2 linked regions of the Struthio camelus genome follow. The protein of the gene in region 2 purifies or fractionates together with the protein of the main gene of each other region. This does not show direct contact. Links are inferred from orthologs where the notes say so. Each region holds a gene or a part of one and is shown on either strand. Other genes may lie near its edges.

Region 1 (7,620 bases), on a different chromosome or scaffold from region 2:
TTGCAGATACAGCTTTAAAATTTTTGCTCATCCACGTCACCTTCCACAGACAAAGCAGCACAGCAAACAATCCTCACAATTCTTGTAAAAGTCTCAATAAAGATGGAAAGAATATTAAGAAGCAGCAATTCCCACTGGACATAAGGCAGTTATAACTATATGCCTTGTGTCTGTAACTTCATGTTATATCTAGCCATGCAATCCAAAAGACAAGTTATAATCACTAGCAGTTATAAACATTTATTTTATTTATATATAAATATGTACATGTATATGTACACATGTATACATATATAACACTCTAAACTGTAATTTGCACAGTTATTGTTCAGAAGCAGAATTCTAAATTGCTGATATTTTCAAAAGAGAGCTTTGGTGGACTACTCCAGTTTAGTTTTCCTCAAAAAACAAATAAAAAATATCTCCTTTGCACACTCCTAAAAAGGAGGAGAGACTAAAACCTTTTGTAAAGCTTTTTACTCAGAAAGGACAGAACAGTCCCCTCAGGCGTGAGCTGAAAGTCACTAGCAAAACTGTATATTTACATTTATAACTTGCTTATTTTCAGTATTTTAATTTCTGAGTTCTTCAAGTTGCTGAGCATTTCAAGTAAAAGCAGAGCATTAATGGGAAAAAGGTGGTACATATTAATAATGACATCCTTCTTGATTAATTTGCAGCCTTACCTGAGAGCTCTGTAACACTGCCTGCATAGCAGCTTCTCTGCAGAGCGCTGTAAGGTCAGCTCCAACATACCCAGTTGTCATTTCTGCCAGTTTAACCAAATCAACATCTGCAGAAATTGGCATGCTAGATGTAAGCAACTGCAGGATGGATCCTCTCTGTGTAAGTGTTGGTGTCCCAATAATAACCTAAACCAAATATAATAAAAAAAAAAGTAAGTAGGCATTTTGCTATATTCCTCATTTTATAGACCTAGGCAAGCAACTTTCTCTCTATACTGCTTACTGAAGATTTATACTTCCTTATACTGTGATTAAATAATTTTACAAGAAACTAATTAGCAGTTCTCCAGCACTCTGACATAAAAAACTCTATACAAATGACAAATATTTAAAACACCTTTCATTTACACTTATTTTCCAAGTGGACAGTGTTTGTATAAACAGCTGTTAATATAACACCATCAGCCCCCAGTCTGTAAAGACATGTTTTAAGGTAACTTAAAAATAAGACTTAGCACTGAAATAATACTTGCCTTGCATCATAAGAGCTGAATTAGATGATGATTACATGCATTTAATAAAATGCACTAGGTAAAACAGAAGTCAGAAATAATAGTACCTTTAAGGATGATCCTGTGAATTTGTGCTTGTCTTGCTACAATTCTTAGTCCATAAACTCAAAGATATGAACACACAAAATAAAGTATTTCAATAACTGGAATAAGGAAGCAGATCTTTGAATCCAAAAGAAAAACAATTCGGTAAATGTTCATACATGAAAAAAAAACTTGGAAAAATGCCACCATAGAATACATTTCAACAATTAACAAACCCTCTAAAATGATACTTTTAACTGTGAACGCATTAATAACATTTAAGTAGCCCTTTTCCTCCAAAAGTATAATTATTTTGATTGTACCACCCTCCCCGTGCAAAGGAGGGTGTGAAAAAAACAGGTCTGCTCACCTCTCTGTCAAATCTGCCAGGTCTTCTCAGTGCAGGATCTAAGGCATCAGGCCTGTTTGTTGCTGCCATAACAACCATCTTATCCTTGCTACCTGTGCCATCCAATAATGTTAGCAATTGAGCAACAATACGATCTTCAGGAGCATTGTTTGAACTTCCTCTCTTTGGGCATAAAGAGTCAATTTCATCAATAAAGAGAATGGTTGGTCCTTCACAGGACATTTCTCTGCCCTTTTCAAAAACTTTTCGCAAGTTCTCTTCACTTTCTCCTGGTCTTGAACCATACAGGGCTGGGCCACCGATGCAAAACAGATAGGCACCCACTTCTTTTGCTACTGCCTTTACCAGAAGGGTTTTCCCTACACCTGGAGGGCCTACTAATAGCACTCCATTAGGGACAGAAAGTCCCAGCTTCTTAAAAGTTTTTGGAAAACGGAAAGGTAAGTCAACCATTTCTTTCAGAGACCTTCCCACACCATCTAGTCCTGCAACTGAAATTGTCGCAGTGTCTTCTGATAAATGCCTGTACCATTCTAAAGGAACAACCTCTTTAATTTTTATGCTTGTTTGGGGGGTTACTAGTCCAGCTTCATCTGTCAAAGGGTCTACAGAAAGTATTTCAATATACACCACGGGATTTTCAAGAGCTGGAGCAACTGTAACAGTGTAATGAAGCGAAACATAAATACTTCTTAGCAGTTCTTTGATTATCTCCTGCAACACCCCTCTGGAGGTAGACTTTTTCAGCGCAGAGTTCTTAAGGACTACTTTCACAGTCACTTTTTTTAAGTGATGATATGCCAAAAGCTTCAGCTGGCTGATGTCCAGCGTGAGATTTTTTAGCTCCTTTGCAGTTACGCCTGCCGTTTTGCACGTCAGGTCGACCTGCAGGTAACCGTCTGCCAAATCGTGCCTGGGCCAAGCCGTGCATAAGCAGCAACCGGTGGGCAGGGTGACCCGCAGCGGGGCCCCGATCCTGGCTCCCAGGAAGGAGAGGGCGGCAGGCCCTACCCTGCACCTCTGGGTGCCCTCATCGCCCGTATCCAGCGGGAGCAGCTTTAAGGGCGCGACCTCCATAGCAGGCGTCCGCGGCGCGCTCTGCGGGGACGGGCACGCAACCCTCCTAAGAGGGCCCCGTCCGGCTCACTACTCACCCCCCCCGCCTCGCCCTCCGCCAAGAGCCGGGCCCGCCGCGGCTCCGCGCGCGTAACGGCCCGGCCGGGCCGAGAGAGCGTCCGCTCCCTCCCTCCCTCCTCCGCAACGGCCCCGACGCGCGGACGGCCGCCAGCCGCGCGCCAGCACTCTCGCTGCGCCTCCTGCGCATGCGCTGCCCATGCGCTGCGCTAGAGCACGCGCACTGACCCAGGTCGCCCCGCCCAGCCGGCGCCGGCGCCGGCGCGCGCACTGGCGGGGGGGGCCGCGCGCCGTCGCCTCAGCGGCTGCTGACGCCTTTCACCTCCGTAGAGGTGTCCAACGGCTGCGGCCGTGAGGTGAATCCATCATAGTGACAGGCGGCCTAGCTTTAAGGCCACCTGCCCGCTTTTTATACCTTCCTCCCACTCCACGAAATGGAGTGATCTTCCTCTCGTTGTCACCCGCTTGTTCTCCACAGAGCCGGTCTTCACCAGGCTCGCGTGCTTGCTTCCGTTCGTCTCTTCTCAGCTCGGCCCCCTCATCGAGGTAGTGCTTCTTAAACGTGCTCCCCAGAGTTGAGCATCCTCCTTCCCGTGTCTCCTGTCAGTGTGTCCCTTGACTCGCTAGCACCTTGCTCATGAGCGGTTGGGGTTGGGGCAGCTGTAGCTGCCCGTTAAGAAAAGGAGTTGGGGAGCCACACAGTTATCTTGAGGAGCTGCTCATACAAGTAATCAGGACACAGAAATTTATTCAGCAATGGATAAATCTGTATTAGTGTGCTGCTCCGACAAATCCTTAATCAGTGTTTAGGAAAAGTTAATTTATAACTCTTTGGCCTACAGCCTTCTTAAATTATGCAGTAAATTATGCAGTACTTCTATAATTACCTTTCAGGCAATCTCTCAGCATTGTAGAATACAAGATAAAGTCATGATCTTCGAAATTTTAATGTGTGCATAATTTTATTCTTGTAAGGAGCTTCACTGTGATTGCACTTACACATGTACTTCATACATACAAACTTCATATGAGACCAGATACTTCCCGAAATTGGGATCTCAAATATAAGACACCAGTCAGAATCAATTACAAACACAGACAGAATGTGGCGGTCATGGTTTACAGCCTAAGTAAAAGCAGTCCAGTATGTATTATGAAGACCTCTGGAGGGGAAGCATAGGAAATTTTTTTCATGATATCCCGCTTTATCACTTTCCTTACTGGACCGAGGGCTGTAGCCAAAGTATTTTAGTAAGCCGTACAAACGGAATATGCAATGTGAAAAGAGCTCGTTTAGGACATCAGAAGTGAGCAGTGTGAAAAACAGTAAGCCTTCTTTTTTTGTCTTAATACATGCAAAAGGGCCTATGTTCTGTTTCTTTTCAGTTCCCGAACAAGTTCTCTCCTTTCAGTGTTTATTTTCAGTTCCTTTTTTCCTGGATGTCAACTTAATGATTTTTCACAGCATATTTTACTGCTGCGCGTTGTATGCAAACATTCATGTGGAATATACATACATATTCGGTATTTAGGATGGGACAGAGCGCTGAATGTAAAGGCAGAAGACTGTAAGGACCTTTCATTCCAAGAGGGAGAATGTATTTTCAAGCATATGTCTTTTAAACATATTCTCTTGTTTTTTTTCTTTTCCCTCAAAGATTCTCATACTTAAGCATAAGTGCTCTTGAGTGCGTACTCAGTTAAAGAAAACAACGTATTCTATTTAAAATGGCAGACTGTTTCAGAGAATTCTAAAGTGTAAGAGGTAGATTCTCTGCTTGGTGTTAAAAGGTTGTGCTTAGGAAAAAAAATAAAGAAAAGGGCCTATCTGAAACTGGGCTCTGTGGTCTATATTCGTATATAGTTGTGCTTTCTTGTAACATCTGGAAAATCTGTTTTCTGACAAGAGAGAAACATCTGCAAAACCTAGTCTTGAGTGACAAAGAATTCCAAATAACAATTAGAGTTGTTAACATTACCTGCCATTGGCTTTAGTGAGAGCAAGTTTAGGTCCTCTTACTGATTTTTTTTAATGATGGATGGGATGCTTTGCATGAATCCATTTTTTTCCATTTAAAATTTGTCTCCTCAGTACCGAGAAACACAAAATGTTTAAGTGATAAGAAAATATCCCCCCAACCTGATAAAACAATAATATCTAATTCATAGTACCTTTTCTTTCAGTATATCTTATGGAAGGGTATAACAGTGGAAAATACCCATATTTTTACATATAGGAAAAGTGGGAAACAATTTTGGGCTATTGTTGAAAATTACATGTACAAATCAAGTAATCAGAACATATCTCATCTTCTCCTCTTCACAGAAGACTGTTGTTGTTGTGGCTGAATTATCTAGCAAATAGATTCTGATGTTTTCAAGTTGTATTTCCGTTGATCTTGCCGTTTGATTTGATATTGTGTTGTAACAGTTTGTTTATATTTAGGTTCTGATCTTAGAATGACGTCTGTATGGGTAGCCCACCTTTTTTCCAAAATCTCTTTGAAGTTTTAGATTTGAATTAAGCAACAAATGTCCTACAGAATGTGGTTTACTGTCACTATGTATAATTGTAGCACCTGAAAAAGTTCTCAGACTCCAGAAAAATAAGCGAAGGAAAATAATTTTTGTGATACTATATGTATGCCTACGTAAAAAAGAAAAAAAAAGGTAGGTGGCATCTGAAAGGCTTGGATGTAGTACTTAGAAATGTCTTAGGTGGCTAGTGGAGCAAAGGCTTGGTATAGACATTCAGACAGAATTTTGTGAGGGAATGAGGACTGGCAAAGTTCAGGCCAGCTGTGCAACAGAAGAGTCTGAGAGCAAGAAGTAAGGGAGTAGTGGAATGGAACAGAGAGAAATTTTTTCTAGTTTTGCATCATTTTCTTTTAAGAATTCTGTCTGAGTTACCTCTGCCTCCCTGAACTTTAAACAACTTTGAATTACAATTAAAAAGATCATTAAGTTAAGACTACTGGGAATTTGCAAACTTGAGGTTCTACATTTGTCTTTTTTCTTTTTTCTTTTTTCTTTACATACATACCTGTAATGGAAATCTGATATTATCTATTAATAACATTAGCTATTATGGCCCACTGTTTTATAAGAAAATATGTTTCTAAAATGTTCACATCTGAAGGTAAGTTCTATTGAACTTCTATGACCCTAATGCTTGTTTGCAGGTGAGTGTTTCAGCAGGGGGATGGTCCAACTTTATTATTTTTTCAGCTATTAACAGGGGCAAGCTGGTCTACTTCTGGACAGAATTGTACAAATACAACTAGAAAGTAGCTGAGCAACAGTCTCTAATCCTTCCTGCCTTCTGTAATCATAGTTCCATGATTTGCATAAACTGTCAGAGGGGATTCCACCCTTTATAGGTCTCAATGTCTAATCCCTGTCCTGCCTTTTATTAAGAAAAGCCTGAATATCGCAAAGAAGATGAGCTTGTTTGGTATAGAACTAATTTGTTTTGGTGAATTAGTTACTGGCTGTACCAAATCTTGATCTCATGCATTGCACAGCCATGCGAATACTTACGGCAGTGCAAAGAATGGCTTGAAATAGCGAGCTGGAAGAGGAGGTAAGGCTGTGACCTCTTTTGGTCACAGCTCCACCTTGTGTCAGCTTACATTGATTGTGAAATTATTGATGATGGCTGAGGAGAAAAGCAGTACAAAACCACTAGCCTACTCAGCAGGTAGCTACCAGTAATAATCTCTGAATTCTTCCTGTTTCACGACAACACAAGGTGTTCCCATTAAGTTCCAATTTATGAAACATGCTAGTTTTCCACAAGAAATATTTAATTTGACTCTGCTAATGCACGCTGTTAGTATTTCTAGTTTTATTTTAGTAATCTGTTAGTTAATGTTACTATGTTTAAAAAAATGTATACCAATAACGTATTTGATGTGCAGCATAAAAACGATGATATTGTTGCTTGATGTGCGTGTCTCAGGCAGTGAGTTTTAACTTCAACGCTGTCATTTTTAACTAGAATATATGGTCATGGTACTGAATATTTTACTTTGAGACACTGATATTTCCATTGGTTTTAGTATAATGAGGTAGAGCCCGAAAGTCATTATTAGAACTTCCTGGAAGTGAGCAGGATTGCCTGTGTGGAGCAACCTGTAGGATCAAGACCTTATTTTTATATTTTTCTGGAAAGCAGATTACTGAATGCTCTGCTTTAGAATTAATATCTTCTAATAGTCGCCCCTGAAACATTTACGGACCCCCAAATTAATAGTGATGAACTGACAAAAAGATATTCAGCCAAGAATCTAGTTTAAACTGTCAAAAGAGAGAAATGTTCTAAACAGTTTTCTTATCATTCAGTAGATGGCAGCTGATCTTCAAGAATGGCTGTATTTCTCCTTGCAGATCTATCAATTTCAGGGGAGTAGTCATCAGTTCTTGGAGAAATCAAATATAATACAGCATTGTCTTCACTCCTTTTTGAGAGATGGTTTCTAAAATCAAACTGAACAACCAACACAGTGAGTGTTCAGATCATTTTCAGCTTCATTACCATTTCTGTTCTTTTGTGTTGGGTTTGTTGCTGTATATTGCTGGAGAAGAATATTCCTTTATTCTTTGCTTTCATACTTGGTAGGCCAGGTTTACTTCTTTTTAAGGAGAACATACAATTCTATAAGAAAATTCCAAAGAGGAGGAATAGCATTGCTATTTTTCATTTGGATGTAGCTGTTGATTTTAGGTAGAATAAAATATTGTTCATCATTCTGAATTTGTTATAATTCACAAATTAAAATAACCATGTCTTCTTATGATAATTCTCTCCATCCAAAGTAAACAAGATAAGTAG
Region 2 (7,804 bases):
GGTTAAGTGACGATAAACCCGTGTGGTTCATAGGGAGCACGGAGGGGTCTTGGGCAGGCTGGCCTGCGGCGGGCAGGGCTGGACCGGTGCCCTGCGCCGGCTCTCAGCCCTCGGCTGGCCCTGCCGCACTGCACTTGCCGTCGAGCCTGTCTGCTGCGGCCACAAAGCCACCTTGCCTGGGGTGGCGGAGGATAAATTAAGGAGCTGTCTAAGGGCCGAGTTTTCCCAGGGACGGCAAAACCAAAAAAATATCGCCACAGCACTCATTGCTGAAGCGCCCAGGTACCAAAGTGAAATGCTGACTGACGAAGGGCTTCACCGAGGAGGTGCCTGAAGCTGGAAGCTCCAGTGTCTCACTTTTCGGGGGGGAAAAGTTTCTAGGCCTTGAAATTTTCTTGCTCTCTCGCTTTCTCCTTCCTCCCCCATCTGAAGGTAAGTTGTCGTGGGGTTTTTTCCTTCTTCCGTCCCCCCTTTTTCCATTTCTTTCTTTTTGATACTCCAGGGAGGGGCAAAACAAGGAAGGAGGAATGAAGTGTGGACAGAAACAGTGGGAAAATGAAAGACCAGAAACCTTTTTTTGAACCTTGTGGTTTAGAAAAAGAAATCTCAGCACCTAATCCTTTCTGATGAAAACGACTATTTTAAATGAATGGCTCTTTACAGGATATGGGCATTTTGGGTAATAACAATTCCAGTCAGTTGTTCTTTCATTGCTATAGGCTGCTTGAAGTGATGCAAAGGGTTTTCTTTAGGCATTAGCCTCGTTTCCTTGGAGGCACGCTGGAAGGGACGTGGTGGAGGGACTGCGTTACACCCGATGACGAGCGGCTCCTGGGGCAGCCCTGCCTGGATGCCCCTCGGGCCTCTGCGTACCGCTCGCAACTCTCGTGCAGGTTTCTAGCTCCGTGGAGCCAGGTTGGAAAGCTTTAGAGAGAAAGGAAGGAAGCAGGTTCTCATGAAGCAAGAGGTTTCCTCGCTTTATGAGGGATTTAGGATCGGCTGATCTTCCCCTTTTCAACCTTGCTGCAGCTAGCAACCAGGGAGGTGAAGAAAGAGGGAAGAAAAAGCACACAGGGACAGCAGGTATTCAGGATCAGCACTGGCTTAGGATGGAGGTCCAGGTGGCTTTGATTAGATCTGGGGTTAGTAAAACATGCAGTAAAGAAAGTGCTCTTACCGTGGGTCGCTTCCAGATTATCCCCTGGGTTTTGGGGGAATACGGACCCAGGTCCCTGTAGCCCAGCGCGGAGGGACAGGCTGGGAATTCCTCATCCTTAAAGAGCGCACCGGCCTGCAGGCACCGCTGCTTCAGGGCCTCGTAGTCCTGGTTTAAGTACCGGACGGCATTGCCGCGGGACCCGAGCCCGCCTGCTGCCGCCCGCTCCTTGCACAGCCTGGCCGCGGCGCCGGCCATACGGGCTGCTGGCGCGGGGCGAAGGAGGGCTGGCGGCCGCCTGGCGTGGAGCGAGGGGCTGCCCTGCGCGCTGCCACCGTCTCGGAGGGAGGAGGCGCGAGGCCGGCGAACGCGTCCGGCGGGCAGGGAGCTGGCACCGCCGGGGCTGTGGGCGCCGGCTTGGGCTGCTCCCCCCGGTATTTGCTTACAAGCTGGAGAACTCCCTGCCCCTTATTAAAACACACCTTTTTTTTTTTTTTTTTAACCAGGAGCGAAGCGAAACAGCGATACGGCAGCCACACCTGTTTGCGCAGTGGCAACCGATCCGACAGCCTGCGGGGAGTCAGGCTCGCGGCTCCGGCTGTTGAGGAGCCCCCACGACAACGCTTTCAAGCTCCTTTCCTTCCAAGGTCTGGGGGAGGCGGGAGCAACCACACAACCTGCGCCAGGACTTCAGCGGAGGCGGCTGCGGAGAGGCCAGCCAGCGTTAAAGCCAGGGAGATATTGAACAAACTGCACAAGGAACAAGCTTTTGGTTTGAATGATCTTTTTTTTTTTAAAAAAAAAAAAAAAAAGGTCTTTGGTGCTCTCCAACTAGTACAATTTCATGAATTAATTGGTTAGCAATAAAAAGGGTGAACTTGATAGAGCAAGGGATGGCCAGTTGGCCATATGGCCTGCAGGGGCAAGGCTGGATGCAGTCCAGCAGCACAACCTAGACCAGATGTCGCAAACTGTATGTTGGCATATGTCAGCAAATGGGAGGCAAGCTGGCAGCCCCTGCTCCCCGTCTACCACCAAACGTATACAGCGTCGCCTTGGGCAAAAATCGCTGTACTTTCCCCCATCTATAAAAATGGGCTCCTACCTCAGGCAGTGCAAATTTACCCATCATATCATACGCAGGCTTTTGGTGGTGCTTCTTCCATATGAAACGCTTACAGGGCGAAAACGCACCTTGGCTGCAGAAGTCTTTTTGGACCTTAAAACTCGTGGTTCCTGCTCTTGTGACTCGTCTTGTCCTCGTATATAGCTACACGTCTCCCTGGCAAGGTGGCCGCAGGCAGGTCTGGGAGCTGAGGCGGCGGCTGCTCTCTGCTGAGTTGGGACTCAGCGGTCAGGTTTCCCCAGGAAAGCTCACTGAGAGCGGGGTAAACAGCAGCTTTGCTTATGGAGAGTACGTGCGACCCCTACGTCTTTCTGCTGTCAGTTTAGACAGAAGGTGTGGGAAGGGAAGAGAGAAATGCTACGGAAAGAAAACCCTTTGAGATAAGGAGTCCAAACAGAGGCTCGCCAGCTTACTTGTCTGCAAATATTTGAAGAGCATAAATAGAAAAGAGGAAACAGGATGACCTGGTCTGCTCCAGGTGGGCCCAGGTAGGGAAGGCTGGGCCGAGGGCAATGCAAGGCCGACGGTCTGAAAATTCAATTAACAGGGACATTTTACTGCTGAAATTGAGCAGAAGAGAGGAACGCTCAGGATTTTGTGTCTTTGTTACGTTGTGATATTTCTGCATGTGTTTGCGTCCTGAATCAGAACAAAGAGTTGAATAATAAAGGGTTGGGAGAGGGGGGTTGTTCTCTTTCCAAAATGGATTTTTTTTTTCCAGAAAAATAAGACCCATCCAGAAGTACCCACTTGCTGTGACCCGCAAGGCGGAGCGCTTGTTTCTCTCCCTGCCCGCACCAGCTCCTTGCCCTGAAGCTCCTCGGGTTCCCGCAGCCCAGAGAGACAAGCCTGCGGTTTGCGGCGACCCTTGTGAGCGGCAGCCTTCGGCGGCGGCGTTATTCACGGGCAAGCGAGGTGCTCTGGCGGAAAGCGAGGCGCTGTGGCACTTGGCAGCGCCATTCCGGGCAGGAATCGGTGGTTTCCCGCGGGCTGCTTGGAGGGGCCTTTGGCACGCCGCAAGGGCAGAAGGGTCGCCGCGCGTGGAGCGCGGTACCAAAGCACCATCTAGAGGTGCCTCTCCAGCCAGACGAGGAGAAGGCGGTGGCTGTTAAGTTGACCACGCTGAGAGCTGACGGTTATGCTACGGGGTTGGGGCGGGGGGGAAGGTTTGAGGTTTTCGCTGACCGTGTCTCGCCCTCAGCGCAAACTGCTGCCGAAGTTGCATGAACACACGGGGAAGGAGCAAGCGGAGCGCGTATAAGACCGGTTCGGGTTTGCGTGGCTCCTGGGATGTGCGTATTCTCGTCTGAGGTCTCCTCCTGAACCCTCTTGGCTGTAAAAGGGAATCCGCAGGTTGCACGAAACCGAAAGTGGCCCCTCCGGAGAGGAGAGGTGCCGCTCGCCGAGCGGTGCGTGGTACGCGTGTCGCTGCAGCGCATGGGGCAGAGGCGCAGGAGCTGCGCTGCCCTGCGCTGCCCTGCGCTGCCGCGCCGCGCCGCGGAGGAGGGCGGCTGCAGACCCCACGCTGCGGAAAGGGGTGAGCCGCCTTTGAGGAGCTTGCCTCCTCCTGGCCTCGCTGCCCCGCTCTGCCCCGCCGCGCTGCCCCAGAGCCCTGGCACCGGCGGGGCTGTTAGCAGGCAGACTAGCGGGAACCGCGGCGGCTCCTCAACGCCTGTCCGCCTGTCCGGTTGTTTTTTCCAGAGGTTGAAACGTTCCCCCTAAATGCTGGGTGAGGGGAAGAGGGGCTGGGTCCCGGCTGCCTGCTGCAAACCGGTGCGCTCGCCGCGGCGTGCCAAGAGCTTCACAAAGGCGAAGTGGCTTTCTGAAGTCAGCTGGCGTCGGGGGGGGGCGCGTCTGGGGTAACTCCGTCCTGGCGGCCGCCGTCTCCCCTGCCCAGGGCGGCGAATCGGCGGCCAAAGCCGCGCGGGAGCGGGGCGGCGCGGCGGCTACAACCAGCAAACCCGGCTGCAAGTGATTTGTGTTGCCCGCACCGCTCAGAAAAGTTCCTTCTTCCGTAGGTAAGGCGGGGACGCGGGGGGGGGAGTCAGGAAGGACTTTATTGTGACTTTTATTATTATCATCACTGGGGTGTGGGGCACGGGGCGGGGGTGAGCTCTCAGCGCAGAGGTTAAGATCGTACCTGGCCGAAGGCGGCGGGGCTGCAGGGGGAGCTGAGCACTGACAGCACTCGTGACACCTGCCCGGGAAAAGGTGGGGGGGGGAAGGGGGAGCCGAGCAGGGCACCGCCCCCTGCTCCCCCTCCCCCCCCCATGGCCTGGGCCGGAGGGGCGGGGCCGGAGGGGCATAGGGGCGTGGCCAGGGACGATGGGGGCGGGGCCGGAGGGGCGCAGGGGGCGGGGCCAGGGGCGGTGCGGGGTTGGCGGAGCGGTGCGGAGGGGACCGGGGCGAGGCCAACGGCTCGGAGGGGCGGGGTCTCGGCGGAGGGGGCGGGGCCGGGGCAGGGCGCGGCGGCGGCGGCGGCGGCGACGGCGGCGGGAGTGAGGGCGGGCGCGGCGCGGCCATGGCGGGGATGGCGGCGGCGGTGGCGAAGCAGCGGGCGGCGGCGGGCGGCGCGGGCGGCCACGGCCGCGCCACCGCCTTCCTGGGCCAGGACTTCGCGGTGCTGCGGCGGGAGTGCGTGGAGGCCGGGCGGCTCTTCGAGGACCCCTGCTTCCCCGCCGCCGCCGCCGCCCTGGGCTTCAAGGAGCTGGGGCCGAGCTCCGGCAAGGCGCGGGGCGTCGTGTGGCGCAGACCCACGGTAGGGCGGGAAACCGCTGTCCCTCCTTCCGTCGCCTCCCGCTGTAACGGCCCTGCCCGCCGTCCGGAGGGGTTTCTGGGCTGTTTTCGCGTCTTTGGCTTCAGGCGGGGTCGGCGGGCCGCGGGCAGCGCTCCGCTCTGTCGCTTCGGCTCACCGGTTTCCTCGGCAGCGAGACGGGCTGAGCGAGACGCGGACGTCTGCCCGGACCCCGAGGCGTCTAGAAGTTTCCGGCGGGCGCCGGCGGTGGCAGGGAGGCAGCAGCAGAGCGGCGCGCGCGGGCTGCCTGGCGCGTGCTGCGCAGGTAGATGTTTGCCCACCGGGCTTTGGCCACGAGCTCCCTCTCTCACCGCGCTCAGCCCGTTCGCTGCCCACGCTCGTTCCCGACCGGCTCCCTGGCGTCGTCCTTCTGCTGTAAAAGTTGCTGGTTTAAATTTCCTGCGATAGGGACTTTGTCCCCTCTGCTGTCTGCCCGGTACGCTTACCGCTTGTTTCGTCCCCAGGAGCTGTGCGCCAACCCCCAGTTCATAGCTGGCGGAGCCACTCGCACAGACATCTGCCAAGGAGCTTTAGGTAAGATGGAGACAACGCACTGCGCGAGTGCTACTGCAGGACGCCGGAGTCCCCTGCTCCCGCGCTGTCTGGCTTACCGCTTTGCTATAATTCACTCTGTAGCTACATCCTCTGGCACCTTACCATCTTCCTTTGTATCGGATTTGATCTTACTTGCCTTTCTTTCATAGCTGCAGACTGGGACCGCATCTGCTCGTCCGTTGCATGCAGCCTTGCTGTACGCGAGGAGTACTGGTGACGTGTGCCCATCTTCTGATCGCGACCAGCTCCTGTCATGCGCTCCTCGCCTCAGTACCCATGTGCCTGACAGCAGTATGCCAAGGAGCGTGACTAATTCCTGCTATTAATAATCTGCCTAGGAGAACAGTTGTGTGTGTTTCATGGCGCTTTTTTTGCCCAGTGGCACAGAGATCTGTGGAGCAGGCAGGATCCCCTGAAACCCGTAATGATGCAATACAGAGTAAACAAGTTATGAAGAGAGATGCCATAGTGCTAATCAGCTCGCAAGCAAAACTAAGCTGGTATTTTTCAGGAGGGGTGGGCATGCCTTTGTGTACCTGCATGCGAGCCATTTGCCTTTGACCTGCCCACCACCAAGTTTGTGCAAGGGCAGTTCCTAGAGCCGGTCGCTCCGGAGGAGCCCTGGGAGCCCAAGGGGTGGCTGCTCCACGGAGGGGAGCGAGAAGGGACTTGCTCACGTGGTTCGGTGTGCGCCATCGTTTCTGTCTCTGAGCATTTCTCCTGCCTTGTCTACCAGGAGTTTGAGGCTGAGTATTTGTACGCTTCTCTTCCCCGAAGCGAGCGAGGAGGCAGGCAAAGAGGAGAAATACAGACATAGGAGAGGAGAGAAGCTAAGGCGGAAACAGCGAGTCTGGTACTTATTACATGACTGTCTACAGAGAAAGCTTTCAGGATTTCAGTTTAGACTGACAGTGCAATTGAGGGGAAACTTCTCAGTCTTTGTGTAGGGAAGCGTGACTAATATGCTGTTCGTTTTCACTGTTGTGCTTTCTCAGTGGAATTGGCAAAAGAGTGAAGTCCATGGGTCTGTTTGCTTTCCATCAGCATAAAATTGGTGATATTGCTGCTTATTAGTTTCTAGTCCTGCTGCTGCTATTTGTGTTTTATCGTACAAAATATATAGCAGGTAGGAAGGCTCATTTCAGGCGTTTTGCATTTATAACAGTTCTTTCAGAGGTTATTCTGGTTAGTACTTTAGCAATAAGACACAATCGGTGTAAAAGAGCCCTGGAAATCAAAATACCTTAGATTGTGAATTTAATTCTTCTCATGCCCCAGTATCACCTGTGGCGTGGATTAGGCTCCGTTGTATCTGTTGTGAAGTCCTTGGCACGTTGCCTGCGTTACCCTTTCGGAAGAAAGGGCTAGGCGCGTTCTGTTGGTCAGCTTCCTTCACATGTTTTCTCTCTGCCCAGTATCTTGTCTCCCATGACAAATGTTTTGGCACAATACATGATCCAACACTTAATACTTGTGCTGGATATTTTCCTCATTTTTATTGTGAAACTTTACAGCTAAGGAGTTGTTCAACTTGAAATTATAGTCTGTTGTAATTTCAGTCATTTTAACAGCAAACACTTTGCAGAGACGCTTGTTTCTGAAGGCACTTAGTTGCCTTCTGCCTTCGCTAGGCTTCCAGCTTCTCTGTCTGCATGTTGTGGCAGCAATAGTACCGTAGTTAAGGATTTGCAACTTAACTTTCAAGTTGTGGAGTTGTTTTTGCTGTTACCAAGCTTTCTCATATATTGGTGAAAAGAATTTGTTTCCTGACAGGTGTTTGGGCCAGTCCGTGTGGATGCTCTCATGAGGTTGCGTGTTACCACCAAAGGATATGAGCTGGCTCACCACTTGTGTTCTTTTACCACCTGAAACAATGTTTTAATAGGAAATTGTTAGTGTTCTTGTTTGTTTCACAGTTTTGGACAGAACCGACTATGACTAGCTGCGCTATCTTCCTATGAATCTGGGCAGGGTTTTGGTATTCTGTGTCAGTTCAGTTGCCGACTAAAATTAGATGCTGTTGATCTTTTATCTAGTGTTTAGCCACTGAGTCACTAAGTGCCTGTATTGAATCCTTTTTCACAAAGTGAGGCTAACAGCTGTGCTGTACAGATGCATTTTGTTGCTGCTGCCTAGTTTGACACTAGCGTTAGAATTGATACATTTGTTTAAG

What was found. The genes of interacting proteins can lie anywhere in the genome.
Region 1: the proteins of CAPN2 (region 2) and AFG2B purify together in Homo sapiens (co-immunoprecipitation; 3 studies listed by BioGRID and IntAct, with this or other methods). This does not show direct contact. The link is inferred for Struthio camelus from reciprocal best matches to the Homo sapiens genes CAPN2 and AFG2B.

What each region holds. Positions count from the first base shown.
Region 1 is NC_090953.1:12,704,727-12,712,346, forward strand, and holds the start of AFG2B (ATPase family gene 2 protein homolog B), read right to left. Parts: upstream 3,003-7,620; 5' UTR 2,730-3,002; coding exon 1,653-2,729; intron 873-1,652; coding exon 687-872; intron 1-686. UniProt on the Homo sapiens protein: ATP-dependent chaperone part of the 55LCC heterohexameric ATPase complex which is chromatin-associated and promotes replisome proteostasis to maintain replication fork progression and genome stability.
Region 2 is NC_090944.1:126,576,082-126,583,885, reverse strand, and holds the start of CAPN2 (calpain-2 catalytic subunit), read left to right. Parts: upstream 1-4,794; 5' UTR 4,795-4,803; coding exon 4,804-5,040; intron 5,041-5,540; coding exon 5,541-5,610; intron 5,611-7,804. Other genes in the region: calpain-8, read right to left, coding at 1,178-1,414. UniProt on the Homo sapiens protein: Calcium-regulated non-lysosomal thiol-protease which catalyzes limited proteolysis of substrates involved in cytoskeletal remodeling and signal transduction. Proteolytically cleaves MYOC at 'Arg-226'.